Schizosaccharomyces pombe: one gene and its partners. The protein of the gene in region 3 binds, or shares a complex with, the protein of the main gene of each other region. Each region holds a gene or a part of one and is shown on either strand. Other genes may lie near its edges.

Region 1 (4,138 bases), 2.6 Mb from region 3:
GCCTTCTGGCTATCCTCTTACTTCATCTACATGTGTTTCTTCTATTAGTCAACCTATCCAATCTACGGATTGTCAAAAGGCTCAGGAAAATCTTTCTAATAATAAACAGATGTCGTCGAATGATCAAGACATCGATCCTTTTAAACAAGCCATTACCGATTTACCTCCTTCTTTTGTTAATATTGTTTTGGAGATGAATGCCACAATACAATCCTTATCAAATCAATGCCAACAAAGAGATAAACAGATTGAAAATATAACCAAGCAATTGCTTATGAATCAGCAGGATTATTGTCCCACAACAATGTCAACAACTGTTTCTACTCCACTTTGTCCTCCAAAACGATTCCCTAAAAGCACAAAAGACTTTAAAGAGCAAAAACCTGATACGAAGCAGGTACGATCTGCTACTATTAGCAATGATTTTAACCTTAAAGGCAACGGAAGGTATAATGAAAAATCTCAAATTGCGGTTCCAAGTGAAATACGAGTTCAGCTATCAACACTTGATGCTATTCTTTTGCAATTTGAGCACTTGCGTAAGGAACTTACCCAAGCCCGTAAAGAGATACAAATTCTTCGGCATACTTCTCAAAATGGAGATCAAGAATCAAATGAAAGCTCAAAAAATGCAATAACCACAAAGACTACTGACAAAGGAAATAATAAGGAGAATACTATGCTGAATGACGGGTCTACAGCCCCTGCAAAAAATGATATAAGAAATGTTATTAATACCAATAATCTTGATGCAAAATTGTCAGATGAAAGTGAGTTAATGATCGAAAAGAACAAAAGCTACTCAACACCTGCTTCATCTACCATCCCTACTTTCCATACCTCACAGCCTCTTACTTCCTTAAATATGCCTGATTCTAGATTTAATCTGGCTAAGGAAAAACAACTTTATTATCGGCTAGGCCTTCAGCATATAGATCAACAGTGTAGTGTTGAAACAGCCAACATGTTGAAAACAGTTTTGGTCCAATTAAATATCCCTTTTGCAATTTTTCCTTCTACCATCGGACAAGTCAGACGCCAGCTGCAACAAGGTCGTAGACTCTACCAATGGGCACGAAATATCCATTATCTAATATACGAGGAGAATATGCGTGACGGTTTGGTTTCAAAACAGTGTTTAGCAGATATGCTGAAAAAGATAAGGGAGCTTAAAAAACGTAGTTTGTGAATGGATGCCAATGACTTACAACTCGATCAATAAGATTTTGGGATGCAGCTTATATTATACAAATGTTGATAAATATGAAATATATTATTAACTACTGACTGAATGAAAGAGGCGTTAAATAAATCGATAGTAATAATAAGCGTATGGCAAAATGTACTATATTATGGCATCCTTTGCATAAAGAATTTTATCCTGCTGCTACACATCTTATTGATTATGCACGGTATTAGGTCTCACGAAATCTTTTGTCAAATCTGATATGATGCTTTTCTTACAAAAATTCATAGCCTCAACTCCGCCTTTTTGGAAGTAAACGACAGCAACAAGTCCGGAAACAATACTACTGTATATCTTTTCAAAACTAGACGAAGATGGAGAATTAGGCCCTTTTAATGGCAAAATACATTGTGTGGCAGTTTCAGGATTCCATTTTTTTGCAACTTCAGCGAGTCGAGCAGGGGAACGAAGATTTACTAAATCCTTGTATGAAGGTATTGTGCTAAAGTTTCCTGATTCCAAATAATGATTAAGTAAGCAAACATCGATAACTGCATTTCCAACCGAAACGAAAGGTTCATTATATCTTTTCAGCCCATGTTTATAAGATTTATGAGTTACAATTTGTTCTCTTAGAGATTTGTCTGAGATGTAATTTTTTTCACCAAAAACACGACTGAAAAAGCTGTCAATGTCTTCTTCTGTAGATGTCATTTCATATCTGTACTTATTTTCATTACACGCAATTTTCCCAATTCGACGGACACAATTCCATGATGATGATCTGAACACAAATTTATTTTCAATTTGAAGTCCTAAACGATTACAATGTCTTGTTAACATACGGATGGCATAAAATCTTAGAAAGAGCTTCAAGTTCCTCAAACCCTTGTATGGAAAATCAACTTTTCGAAAGAAAAGATATCTGTTTTCTGCAACTAGAATATAGGTTGTTTTTAAAAAACATTGGCCGATTACGAAGTAGTAAAATAGCGCACTACGCTTGAGATCACAGTGTACGAACGTCAAGGTATGCTAATGTTATCAAACTGTTTCAATAATTTACAATTTATTTTGTGTTTTACTGTTAAGTGTATATAAACAACTACTACAAAGTTATTCCAAAGAAACAATTAATTGAAAGGATACTGAAGTTTTGGTTGAAAATTTGTCACAATGAACCAAGATGATTTCAGAAAGCTTTTAGCTACTCCAAAAGCCGAAACCTCCCAGTTAAAAAATTTCTCATCGAATAAAAGTCAGCGACTTGTTTTTGGTCGTAAACATAAGACGGCCAAATTGGAAGCACCCAGAGCCCTAATTAAAAGAAAACAACTAAGTCATTCTACATCGTCAGACATTACGAGACATTCTAATGCAAAAAATTCAGGGAAAGATACTCAATTTTATGAAGAGCCTTCTTCCAAACAGGATATTGAGTTGCACAAATTGCACGAGAAACTTCGCAATGGCCAAATTACGACAAAAGAATATTCAGAAAAATCTAAAGAATTAGGCGGAGATTTGAATACAACTCATCTCGTGCGTGGTCTTGATCGAAAATTGCTTGAAAAAGTTCGCTCTAATGAGCTAGCCTTGGATGATTCTCTGCTTTCTTCGAGTGAGAAAGAAGTTGACGAAGAAGCAGACAAGCTTTTAGAGAAAGTTGCTGAGGAGTCATCACATCCTGAATCTGTTTCTATTCTAGAAGAAAAAAAGAAGATACCTCTTTATCCTAATGGACAACCGAAATATCGTAAAATTTTGGAAAATGGAAAAAAAGTTAAATATTTGCTTGATGAAAATGGTGAAATCCTAAAACGGCTTGTGAAGAAGGAAAAAAAGTTAAAAAATGATAATGAACGTTTAGAAAATGAACATAGAACCGAGAAATTAAACGTGAACGCTAATAGCTTAGGGAAAAGCTTTGTTAAGCATGATATACCACTTCCACCAGTTGATTTGAAGCTCGATATTTTCGAGGAGGTTGGAGAATATGATCCTTTTCATGAAAATGATAAAGAGCCTGCTGAGTTGAAGGCGAAGGATGCTTTTCAGCTTAAAGGTCATCATGAATTGGATGCGCCTTATCATAAGAAAGTCTTTGATACAAATCAATATAGCGATCTTAAACCTACGAATTTTATGTCTCAAATTCATCGACTTGCCAAAGTTCAGGAACGCAAAGAAGAAGAAGAGCGAAAGAAAGGAAAAGACGGACAAATTGTTGATGCAGGTTTCGGGCTTGTATTATCAAAAGACGATACAGCAGATATTCACGAGTTAGGGGAATCTGACGATGATGATAATGTTAAAAGGAGAAAGACGAAAGGTTAAAAGTACTACTTCATTCAGTATGAATATTTACGATTTAAGATTTAAGTTACGTGTTTTTAAAATATTATTATGAGGCTACAATTATTTATTTGCCCGTTTTACACCAAAAAACCTCGATTCGGGGAATTATGTTGAGGAAGCCCTGTTAAATGATCAAACGAACATATAGAAAAAGTAAGTATATCCATATCATTTCATGTAAACTTATCTACTCCAAGGCCTTTTTAATGGTTTGGATTTGTTCTAATACACAACTCTTAGCGGTACCACCAATCGCACAACGCTTCTCCACACTGGATTCATAGTTGAAAACATCTGCAACATCTTCTTCATATAATGGGTGTAGCGATTTAAAATCTTCAACACTTAGCTTATCAATGGTAGTGTTTCTTTCCTCGGCCATTCGGACAGCGGACCCGGAAATATGATGAGTTTCACGAAAGGGAACACCTTTACGCACAAGGTATTCTGCCAAATCAGTCGCTAGCATGTCCGCAGTCAAGCTCTTAGCAATATTTTCTGGATTTACAGTTAAAGTAGAAAGAACTCCGGTTAGAATTTGAATGGAATCCAAAACAGTTTTGGAAGAATCGAAAAGCGGTTCTTTATCTTCTT
Region 2 (3,862 bases), 2.2 Mb from region 3:
AGCTGTTGCGACTCCTCAAAAAGTGGAAGCACCAAGTGCCCCTCGACTTCAAAAGCGTGCACCTCGACAACAATCCAATGATTCTGCTGTATTGGCAAAGTTACAGTCTATATGCAATCCCAAAAATCCAACACTTTTATATCGAAATTTTGTTAAAATTGGTCAAGGTGCTTCTGGTGATGTGTATTCTGCTCGCCAAGTCGGCACTAATCTTTCTGTTGCCATCAAGAAAATGAACATTAATCAACAGCCAAAAAAGGAATTTATTGTCAATGAAATACTCGTGATGAAGTCACATCATCACAAAAACATTGTCAATTTTATTGACACTTTCTTCTATAAATCAGAGTTGTGGATGGTAATGGAATACATGCGCGGTGGCAGTCTTACTGAAGTGGTTACCAATAACACTCTTTCAGAAGGTCAGATAGCTGCAATATGTAAGGAAACGTTGGAAGGCTTACAGCATCTCCATGAAAATGGCATTGTTCACCGTGACATAAAATCAGACAATATCCTTCTCTCACTTCAAGGAGATATTAAACTTACCGATTTTGGGTTTTGTGCTCAGATCGACAGTAACATGACGAAACGAACGACGATGGTTGGTACTCCATATTGGATGGCTCCAGAAGTCGTTACTAGAAAGGAATATGGTTTCAAAGTTGATGTCTGGAGTCTTGGTATTATGGCTATAGAGATGGTAGAGGGAGAGCCCCCGTATTTAAACGAAAATCCTTTACGTGCTCTATATTTAATTGCTACTATTGGTACTCCAAAGATTAGTCGGCCAGAATTGTTAAGTTCTGTTTTCCATGATTTTCTTTCTAAATCTTTAACTGTTAATCCTAAGCAACGCCCTAGCTCCGGTGAGCTTTTAAGGCATCCGTTTCTTAAGCAAGCCGTTCCAGTTTCATCCCTTATCCCTTTGATAAAATCCATACATCATTCTGGTAAATAGGCTAACTTGTCAAAAAAGTTTTTGAGTAAACATCTGCTGTTAGAAGTTTCGGAATATCCTCCAACGTTTGCTTAAAAACTGTTTCTTCTCACATTGTTTATTTATCGTTAATATGCTTTTGCAGTTCGTTAGAATATATGTACCTGAGTTTATTTTTTTGCCTCCTCCACTAAAATCCATATCCGCAGGTTGGGCAGATTCAAACAGAGTACATTTTAACTACTTTTTTGCTTTACTTTAATTCCTTTTTCTAGTGCATACTTTACTTATCTGTTCCTTTTTTTTTGTTTTTTTCTTACTGCCAAGAATGATCTCAGTGACACTTGGATAATTTTTATAATAAATGAGACAATGCTTCTTTCTAAAAGTCTCAACTTTTTAATATTCGCAATGCATTATAAAAAAACTAAAAGGAAGACTAACTTATCAAAGTATTCAAAATGTAAGTACATGATTCTGAGATTGATCTTGAATCAGTCAAAATAGGTTTGAATCTTTTAAAGCGATGTTTCAATTTCAATTATGTGGAATCTCAAAGTGAAACGCCTGCTGGAATATTTCACAAAATTTTTGATCTACTAAAATTAGTACAAATACGTAGAAAACTTCAAATAATTAAATGGACTATGATTGTAGCGTAGTTCATGAGCTTAAGAAAATTGTCAACATTAAACTGCGAGACTTAATAAAGAGAGAGCGCACTTAGCATTTAAATGTCAAGCCAAAGCAATAGTGAATTTGAGGAGTCTCGTTATACATGGGTTATTACTACTCAACAGCAGACTATAGATTTAGGCAGCAGCCTACTTCTTAAGCATTGTCTCGAAACCAAAGTAACTGGTCTTTAAGTTTCCTTTTGACGACTTCCAATTATTTCAAACTCTTTTCTCGGAGATCGTAAATCTATCTGTGATTGGGTCTACTGGTTTTAGAAAACGGCTATATGCATCGTTTTATAACTATATAATTAAGATCAAGTTCTGCAGTAACTAAGTTCGCCTTACCTTGAGAAAACTTTTAAAATATTGTTCAGCATTACTGTACCCAACAATATTCTACTGTTCGCGCTTGGGTCGAAAATGGCTCTTTTAAGAGGAAATTCTTTGGCAATTAGCCAAAAAATGTTATCAGTTTTTCAAGCTAGCGCCCTTCCTCATATTTCTTTGAGGATATTTATTTCCCCCCCTTCAATAGCTAATATATGGAATTCCATTTTGCTTGCTGTTCCAAAGAAAAAAACTTCTTATACTAAGAAACGAAGTCGCTTACTGTCCGGAAAAGCATTAAAAGACAAAACAGTTAATCGTTGTCCTATTTGCGGGTCTTTTAAATTGGCACATCATTTATGTTCTCACTGTTTTAGAAATATTCGTCGAGAATTTAACGAATGAAGGGCATTAAGCATTTCTTCACTGATTTAGTGATGCTGCAAATCTTTATTTTAAGAAAAAAAATGGACTTAACATTAAATATAAGGTTGTTTCATGTAATAGTATTGCAGTTAGTGAATTGAATCTGCTCGCACTACTTAAATTTTTTCAGTATTACGATTAATGAACTACACCCTTTTTAAAAATACGCGTATAACAAAGAATTTTTTTACTTAATTTTATTTGTTGACTATGTACGGTTGAGTATAAATATCATATATTATGCAAAAGAATTTAGAGTGAAAAAATAACAAAAAAGCTGAATATATCTCTTAGCTTTCATCCTTTTTCAATACACGTTTATGTTGTAAGCGTGTAAATAATATTAAATGCATCGAAAACACAAAAGAGACTATAATCTCATGTAAAGTATACATAAACGATAACAATAAGAAAAAACCAAGCTAGTTTTTCGCCCTCCATAAACCGGAATCAATTCGTTCTCGGCGTTGAGGATCATAACGATTAGCGTTCATTGAATTACGAAAAGAGCGACGAGCCACTTGAATTGTCTTGCTACCTGGAAGACAAACAGTTACACGCAGTGGATGAGTAGGATGAATTCGAAGGGGTTGTTTGGAAGATGAGCGGTATATAGGAACCTTCTCCTCTAATGGTTTCATTTCCTCTAATTTTAATGATTTAGTAGGAAGAAACCGCTCCGGGTTCACTTTAGGCAAATGTAAATTCAAAATAACATCGCCCTTCGATCGCTGAATTCGAACAGAATTTGCATGACTAAGTATCAATCTCGATGATTTTAAAGAGCTCGTTTCCGAGGATACTACATAACTACTACTTCTGGTATCACGACCTTTGGAGTGGCTGTAAGAAGAGGATGAAGAAACAGGTTGACCGAGAGCATTAGAATTGCCAATGCGTGAAACTCCTCCATGTTCGTTGGGGACACGATGGGGTAAATGAGCATTTGCGGCCACCCCACTTTGATAGGATCTCTGTTTATATAAGTTATTGTCAAAAATGACATCCTTTATACTTAAAATAACTTCATCAATACTCCGAGACTTTCCATGTTTCGGGGAAGAAGTACTATCATCAGATTGGGGATTCAACTGTAAAGGATCATTTTTATCCGACGTAAATAAAGGCGAGACTTGAACAGGAGGAATTGGATGACTATGACTTCTCCATGAAAGCGGAGTAGAATCATCTCTGGGGCTAGAAGGATCAATTTCTGTTGTCTCTTGGTTACTATGTAGTCCTTCGGGACTATTGGTAATAGACTGAGGCTCTTTAGTGTATATTGCTTCAACTTTTTTGCTAGACTCGACATTGGAAGACCGCTCATTAGTAATAGTGGGTGAGGAATTCATCTTTGATGATGATATCTTTATTTCTTCAGCTTTTTTACGGGCTCGTTCTCGTGATCGAGCAAGTTCTTCTTCTTCATTCCTCCGCCTTTCAATTGCTTTCTGGCGAGCTTCGAGCATAATTTGCTGTTGCTCTGCGC
Region 3 (5,413 bases):
ACACTTGAAGAGGACACTGATGATCAGTCTATCAAATGGATACGTGGTGCGTTAATAGGTTCAGGATCGTTTGGACAAGTTTATCTCGGTATGAATGCATCTAGTGGTGAGTTGATGGCTGTTAAGCAAGTGATCTTAGATTCTGTTTCTGAATCAAAAGACCGCCATGCCAAACTTTTAGATGCATTAGCGGGTGAAATTGCTCTTCTACAGGAGTTGTCTCATGAGCATATTGTCCAATATCTCGGTTCTAACTTAAATTCGGACCACTTGAACATTTTTTTGGAATATGTTCCTGGGGGGTCGGTTGCCGGATTGCTTACAATGTATGGAAGCTTTGAGGAAACGCTAGTCAAGAACTTTATTAAGCAAACCCTTAAAGGCTTAGAATACCTTCATTCACGCGGCATTGTACACCGTGATATAAAAGGTGCGAACATCTTGGTTGATAATAAAGGGAAGATTAAAATTTCGGACTTTGGGATATCGAAGAAACTTGAACTAAATAGTACCTCTACGAAGACGGGTGGTGCTCGCCCTTCTTTTCAAGGCTCTTCTTTTTGGATGGCTCCCGAAGTGGTGAAGCAAACTATGCATACGGAGAAAACAGATATTTGGTCTTTGGGATGTTTGGTAATCGAGATGCTCACTAGTAAGCACCCTTATCCGAATTGTGATCAAATGCAGGCCATTTTCAGAATTGGGGAGAACATTCTGCCGGAATTCCCTTCTAACATTTCTTCATCGGCCATAGATTTCCTTGAGAAAACGTTTGCCATAGATTGTAATCTTAGACCTACAGCATCAGAGTTGTTGAGCCACCCGTTCGTTTCATAAGCCGGCTAAGTTATGATGAAAACAGAAACATTATTTTACGATCTATCTTTTTTATGTTTTTTTGCATCATTATCATTGCATTTATGCCATTTAGAACTAATGAATTTATTTAACCTATAAACCGTATGATTTAAGTTGCTATATTTTTCTACAATATTCATGTTTTTAATGATTTTGTGAATGTCCTTGATAAATACCATTATGAGTTTAGTTACTAAAAAAATACTATTTTACATGTTCAGTTTGTTTAAAAAATATCCATTGATTATTCCTTTTCAAGAAAAAACTTTTTATTTTTATTTACTTTGTGAAAACGATAACATAAATATATAATAACACATATCTACGGGAATTCTATCACTTAAACAAGTAAAACTCAAAAACGTATGTATGCATTAGTCGTAGAGAAGGGGATTTTTTGTTCACTCCTTGAGGAGAAAAGATTAGGTATAGTAGATATAAAATAAATTGTCTACTATCCAACATAGCCTTCCTTATTTCCATCTGTAAATGGAATAAGACTGCTGACGAAAAAACGAGCCAAACGGGTATCTTTGGAATTGGTTGTTATATTTACGTTAAATCCAGGTAAAGAGTGCGGATACATCTCATAAACAGCTTCAATTTGGGGAAATAAAGGCATGACTTCACTTGGTAAACCAAAAGATATGTTTCCTGTTTGATCTCCGCTTGTAGGACTCAGGCCCTTGAAATCATGAAGCTGAGGAAGAACCAACTCAGATAAGATTGAAAGAAATGTATACATAGATTCTCCAGTTAGAGTAACCTTTACACCTACTGGCACACCTGAACGAAGTTTCCAGGGAGAAACGTCCTTACGTGCATAGACTATTTCGGGCTGCAAACCCGTTATAGAACGAAATGCCATCATTGTACTCAAGAGCTGCGTTTTGTCAACGAGTGCTTCTTTATGCATAGTGCTGACGACAACTTTGCTAATAGAAGGAAGGTTTTTAGGATTAACGGACTCCTTTACTGGTAACAGAGGCTTATTACCACGCATTTTCTGAGGAGGCCGGTTTTTATAATAAGGGTTATCACCAATCCACCTTGGAAGTCTGTCTTTCTGTGTATGTTCATCTGTGCTTAACGCTGTATCTATGTCATGTCGATATGAAGCAGCTAATACATCCGGTAAAATGGTATCATGCAAGTGTTCTTGTAAGCGATTTAACATGGTGGGTCCTGGACGAAAATACTCAGAATTTGGATCCCATCCTGGTAGGGGCCTATTCTTGCCCAGTTTTTGCTTTACAGTGATGGTTCTTCGCTGCAGAAAGTTAACTGATATTCTGATATTTTTTCTTATCCCAAGCATTGTTAAAAATTAAAAAATGAATTAAAACAAGTATAATGACAAAGAGAAACCAAAAGCGACAAAAATACAACAGGTTACTTTCTAGGGAATTTTCGTGAAAATCCTTTTGCTTTATAAGCAGATGAGCACTTGTGTTATAATTTACCAATAAATTATAGTAAATAACACAAATCCGGGAAAAAATATTTATAATCACGAAACAAGGAAATTGTAAAGACCAATGTCCACAAATGATACCTGTTTCTCAAATCTTCAAAGGAAGGTTTTAACAAATGGTTATGGATAAAACAGGTAAGTCTCGCAACCAAAACAATTTTGCAATGGATCTTAGGTACTAGGGCTGGAAGATTGCTCGCGTTTGTCTAGTGTATTGTCATGGTTAGTGTACCGTATTACCTAGTGCCAAGTAAGGAAATCCGAGGCATCGTTATAATCATATGCCACACGATTTTGAGTGCCAAGTGTAATAGAAAGTATTGTACTTGTAACTTACAAACTTATTTAAACAAGTTAGCTTTAAAGCTTTAAGCTGATGTCTTTCTGTTTTTTTTTATACGTCGAAAAACAAATGTTTTTCCTTCAGCTGGTACATAAAAAAGCAGCTAATTGCTCTTCTTTTACAAGATGATTTTATTTTTGTATTTCTCAAAATCGTGCCAAATGGCATGCCACACATATTCAAATTATTGGAAAGTATTATTACTAACTGGCTCTACAAACTATTTGGATAGGATAGTGATGCATGTCATAAGATCACTTTCATGCAATAACAATACTAATCCAATTCGTTCTTTTGTATTCACTTTGTTCTTGTTCGTTTTTTACCTTCTTTCCTTTCAATATAGATGTGTGATGATGAATGAGAGATGCAAGAAGCTTAGCTCAAACACAATCCTGAAAGAGTAAAGTACTCAACATAAAATAATGCATTTATACATTTCGTACCTTTATCAATCTATTATGCAACAATAAAAGCATTTTATCCAAAAGAAAACAAGTTGTCTTAATACTTGAAAAGATCAATAGATTTACTTTTAGTTTGGTTTTCTAAAAAGAGAATCACACTTGATAAGAAATTGATTGCCTCGAATAACTCAAAACTAAATTATCTTAAACAACAGATACCGCCAGTGTATACTCAAAAATCATAGATATATGTTTCGAATTCGTAACACTTTAATGAAAAACCAAGCATTTCATAGGAAAGACAAATTTACACTTTAGTTTTGTGTCCAGGCATTACGATAACGTCTGGTAAAGACATAAAAAGAGGTATAAGATCTGGCACTTGAGAATCGCCAGTCATTACAATTTGGATACAGAACAAGCTCTAGAAACTCAAGATAGTGCAGTAAATGTTTATAAAGAGCATTTCTGCTTAGAATCACAAAACAAATTGCACTGAGTAACCAAATATTGAATATTCACTGTCCAAGCTCATATGCTTATTATCAATCAATTGGCAAGCTGAGGATATCCAACAAGTCAGATAACTTCATAATTCGAGGCTAAAGATTCTATTTAAAGAATTCAACGCAGTCCTATGTAAACAATTAACCCATTCTATGATATATATTGTAACATTGGGAAGCGCCTTAATTGCTTGTGTTTAGGTCAAACCAGAACAGCGCTATGATAACTAAACAACGTTTTATTTTCCCATCGACCATATTTTAATTTAAGTGTCGTGAATACCCGTACACTTTAGGCCATTTGATGACTATTCATACTTATATAAAAGTCAAAGCCTTTCTTTAGGCAAGTGAAGAACCATTTCTAATTCGTAAGCACAGTGTATAAACAAAGAAATCCGTGATACATTATTTTGGGTTATTTCACTTCGTGAGAAATAAAGCAAGAAATTTGTTCGTTGTTGGCAGCAAAGTTAATTGACTGCTTCTAACAAACTTCAGAATTTTTAATGAAACATTACAATCAACAATACAGTTTAATTATTGCTGATGTTAACCATTTTCTTTAATAGCTCAGACAAAACCAAATGTTCCGGAGGTTCCGTAGCAGGCGTAGAAAATGTGTTTAAAGCAGGGCTTCTCAATGGGCGGAATAAAACACGTTCACCTTGTAAATGTCCGTTTTGCGGAGATCCGTTCAAGTGTGTCTCACAAGAACTGAGATTCCCAGACACTAAAGGATAAGAACTAGTACTTTCACTAAATGGTGTGCTAGTCCTACTAAAACCAGAATCGACAGCTCTAGGACTCTCATTTGAAAACGTGCGTTGTTGTAATGAATGAACAGAGCACCCGGTAGTTTGAGCAGGTATAGGTTGAACAGGTCCAACGAGGCTATCCACCATCCTCCCAAATTGCAGACTTGCAATACTAGATGACTGATTAGCTATGGATGGTGTTCCAGATAAAAAAGGAGATGTAGGAGAAGATTGAGCAGATGGAAAAGAAGATGAGGACATTAGTGAATAATTCGATAATCCCATTCCAGTAAAAGCCTGTCCGCTAAATGGAGATCTGTGGGGTGTTGGAGGCGAAGAAAAAGATGTGCTATTTGGTGTACTTTTCGCTCGCATATTCAGTAACACATACAAAGAATCTAACGCAATTGTTATCAGTGCGTCAGAATCATCAACTTGGGGACCTTTACCTTCCTCATTAAAAGGATAATGATTTGAAAAGTAAAGCCACTGTAAAGTATCACGAGGAACTCCACAAACCTTAACAAGAGGGAAAAAGAATAGCAGGCCGATACTTTTAGAAGAACAGCGTACAAGAACAGAGTCGTCGGGAGCTGTTTGATTTGTGTTCTCCAAAAAGAAGCTTAAACGATTGAATATCTGTGAAAGTCCAGTTCGAATATCTTTAGTAAGCCAGACGTCCCCATTTTGCAAACACGAAGAAGTCAAAACACACAAAGGTAGAAGCATTGGCATAAGTACAGCATTTGAAGACAGAGATCCATATTGACGACGTTCGACTAGATCATCAAAATTACCGTCCTTCTTACTCGACACACCAGAGGTAAGAGCTTGTAAAGGAAGCTGGCTATTCACTGAATCAGAAAGGACTTCAAAAAACATAGTTGTAGTTTGTGTAGCAAGCTTTAAATTCGGATACGACTCACCGTGTTCTCCAGAATCACTAAAGCCAATAAATGGAGCTAAAACCCTTGCAGCCAATGCACAATATGTCATCTGTAATAAAGAGGATTCTGAAAACAAGCCGCTTTTAAGTGACTCAGAAAGAAGAAATCGAACTCGTTTGA

Evidence for each region.
Region 1: mrpl7 (region 3) and mrpl15 share a complex: the UniProt entries of both Schizosaccharomyces pombe proteins name them as parts of the mitochondrial large ribosomal subunit.
Region 2: mrpl7 (region 3) and mrpl32 share a complex: the UniProt entries of both Schizosaccharomyces pombe proteins name them as parts of the mitochondrial large ribosomal subunit.

Annotation. Positions count from the first base shown.
Region 1 is NC_003423.3:4,361,654-4,365,791, forward strand, and holds mrpl15 (mitochondrial 54S ribosomal protein mL57), read right to left. Parts: upstream 2,139-4,138; 5' UTR 2,030-2,138; coding exon 1,397-2,029; 3' UTR 1,229-1,396; downstream 1-1,228. Other genes in the region: SIN component scaffold protein Sid4, read left to right, coding at 1-1,189; SPOM_SPBC1539.02 (uncharacterized protein), read left to right, coding at 2,363-3,523; arg41 (argininosuccinate lyase), read right to left, coding at 3,732-4,138. UniProt on the Schizosaccharomyces pombe protein: Component of the mitochondrial ribosome (mitoribosome), a dedicated translation machinery responsible for the synthesis of mitochondrial genome-encoded proteins, including at least some of the essential transmembrane subunits of the mitochondrial respiratory chain.
Region 2 is NC_003423.3:3,906,098-3,909,959, forward strand, and holds mrpl32 (mitochondrial 54S ribosomal protein bL32m), read left to right. Parts: upstream 1-1,754; 5' UTR 1,755-2,040; coding exon 2,041-2,352; 3' UTR 2,353-2,634; downstream 2,635-3,862. Other genes in the region: PAK-like kinase Shk1, read left to right, coding at 1-961; SPOM_SPBC1604.12 (uncharacterized protein), read right to left, coding at 2,796-3,862. UniProt on the Schizosaccharomyces pombe protein: Component of the mitochondrial ribosome (mitoribosome), a dedicated translation machinery responsible for the synthesis of mitochondrial genome-encoded proteins, including at least some of the essential transmembrane subunits of the mitochondrial respiratory chain.
Region 3 is NC_003423.3:1,735,741-1,741,153, reverse strand, and holds mrpl7 (mitochondrial 54S ribosomal protein uL5m), read right to left. Parts: upstream 2,513-5,413; 5' UTR 2,177-2,512; coding exon 1,313-2,176; 3' UTR 1,057-1,312; downstream 1-1,056. Other genes in the region: MAP kinase kinase kinase Byr2, read left to right, coding at 1-837; ebs1 (EST1 family protein), read right to left, coding at 4,125-5,413. UniProt on the Schizosaccharomyces pombe protein: Component of the mitochondrial ribosome (mitoribosome), a dedicated translation machinery responsible for the synthesis of mitochondrial genome-encoded proteins, including at least some of the essential transmembrane subunits of the mitochondrial respiratory chain.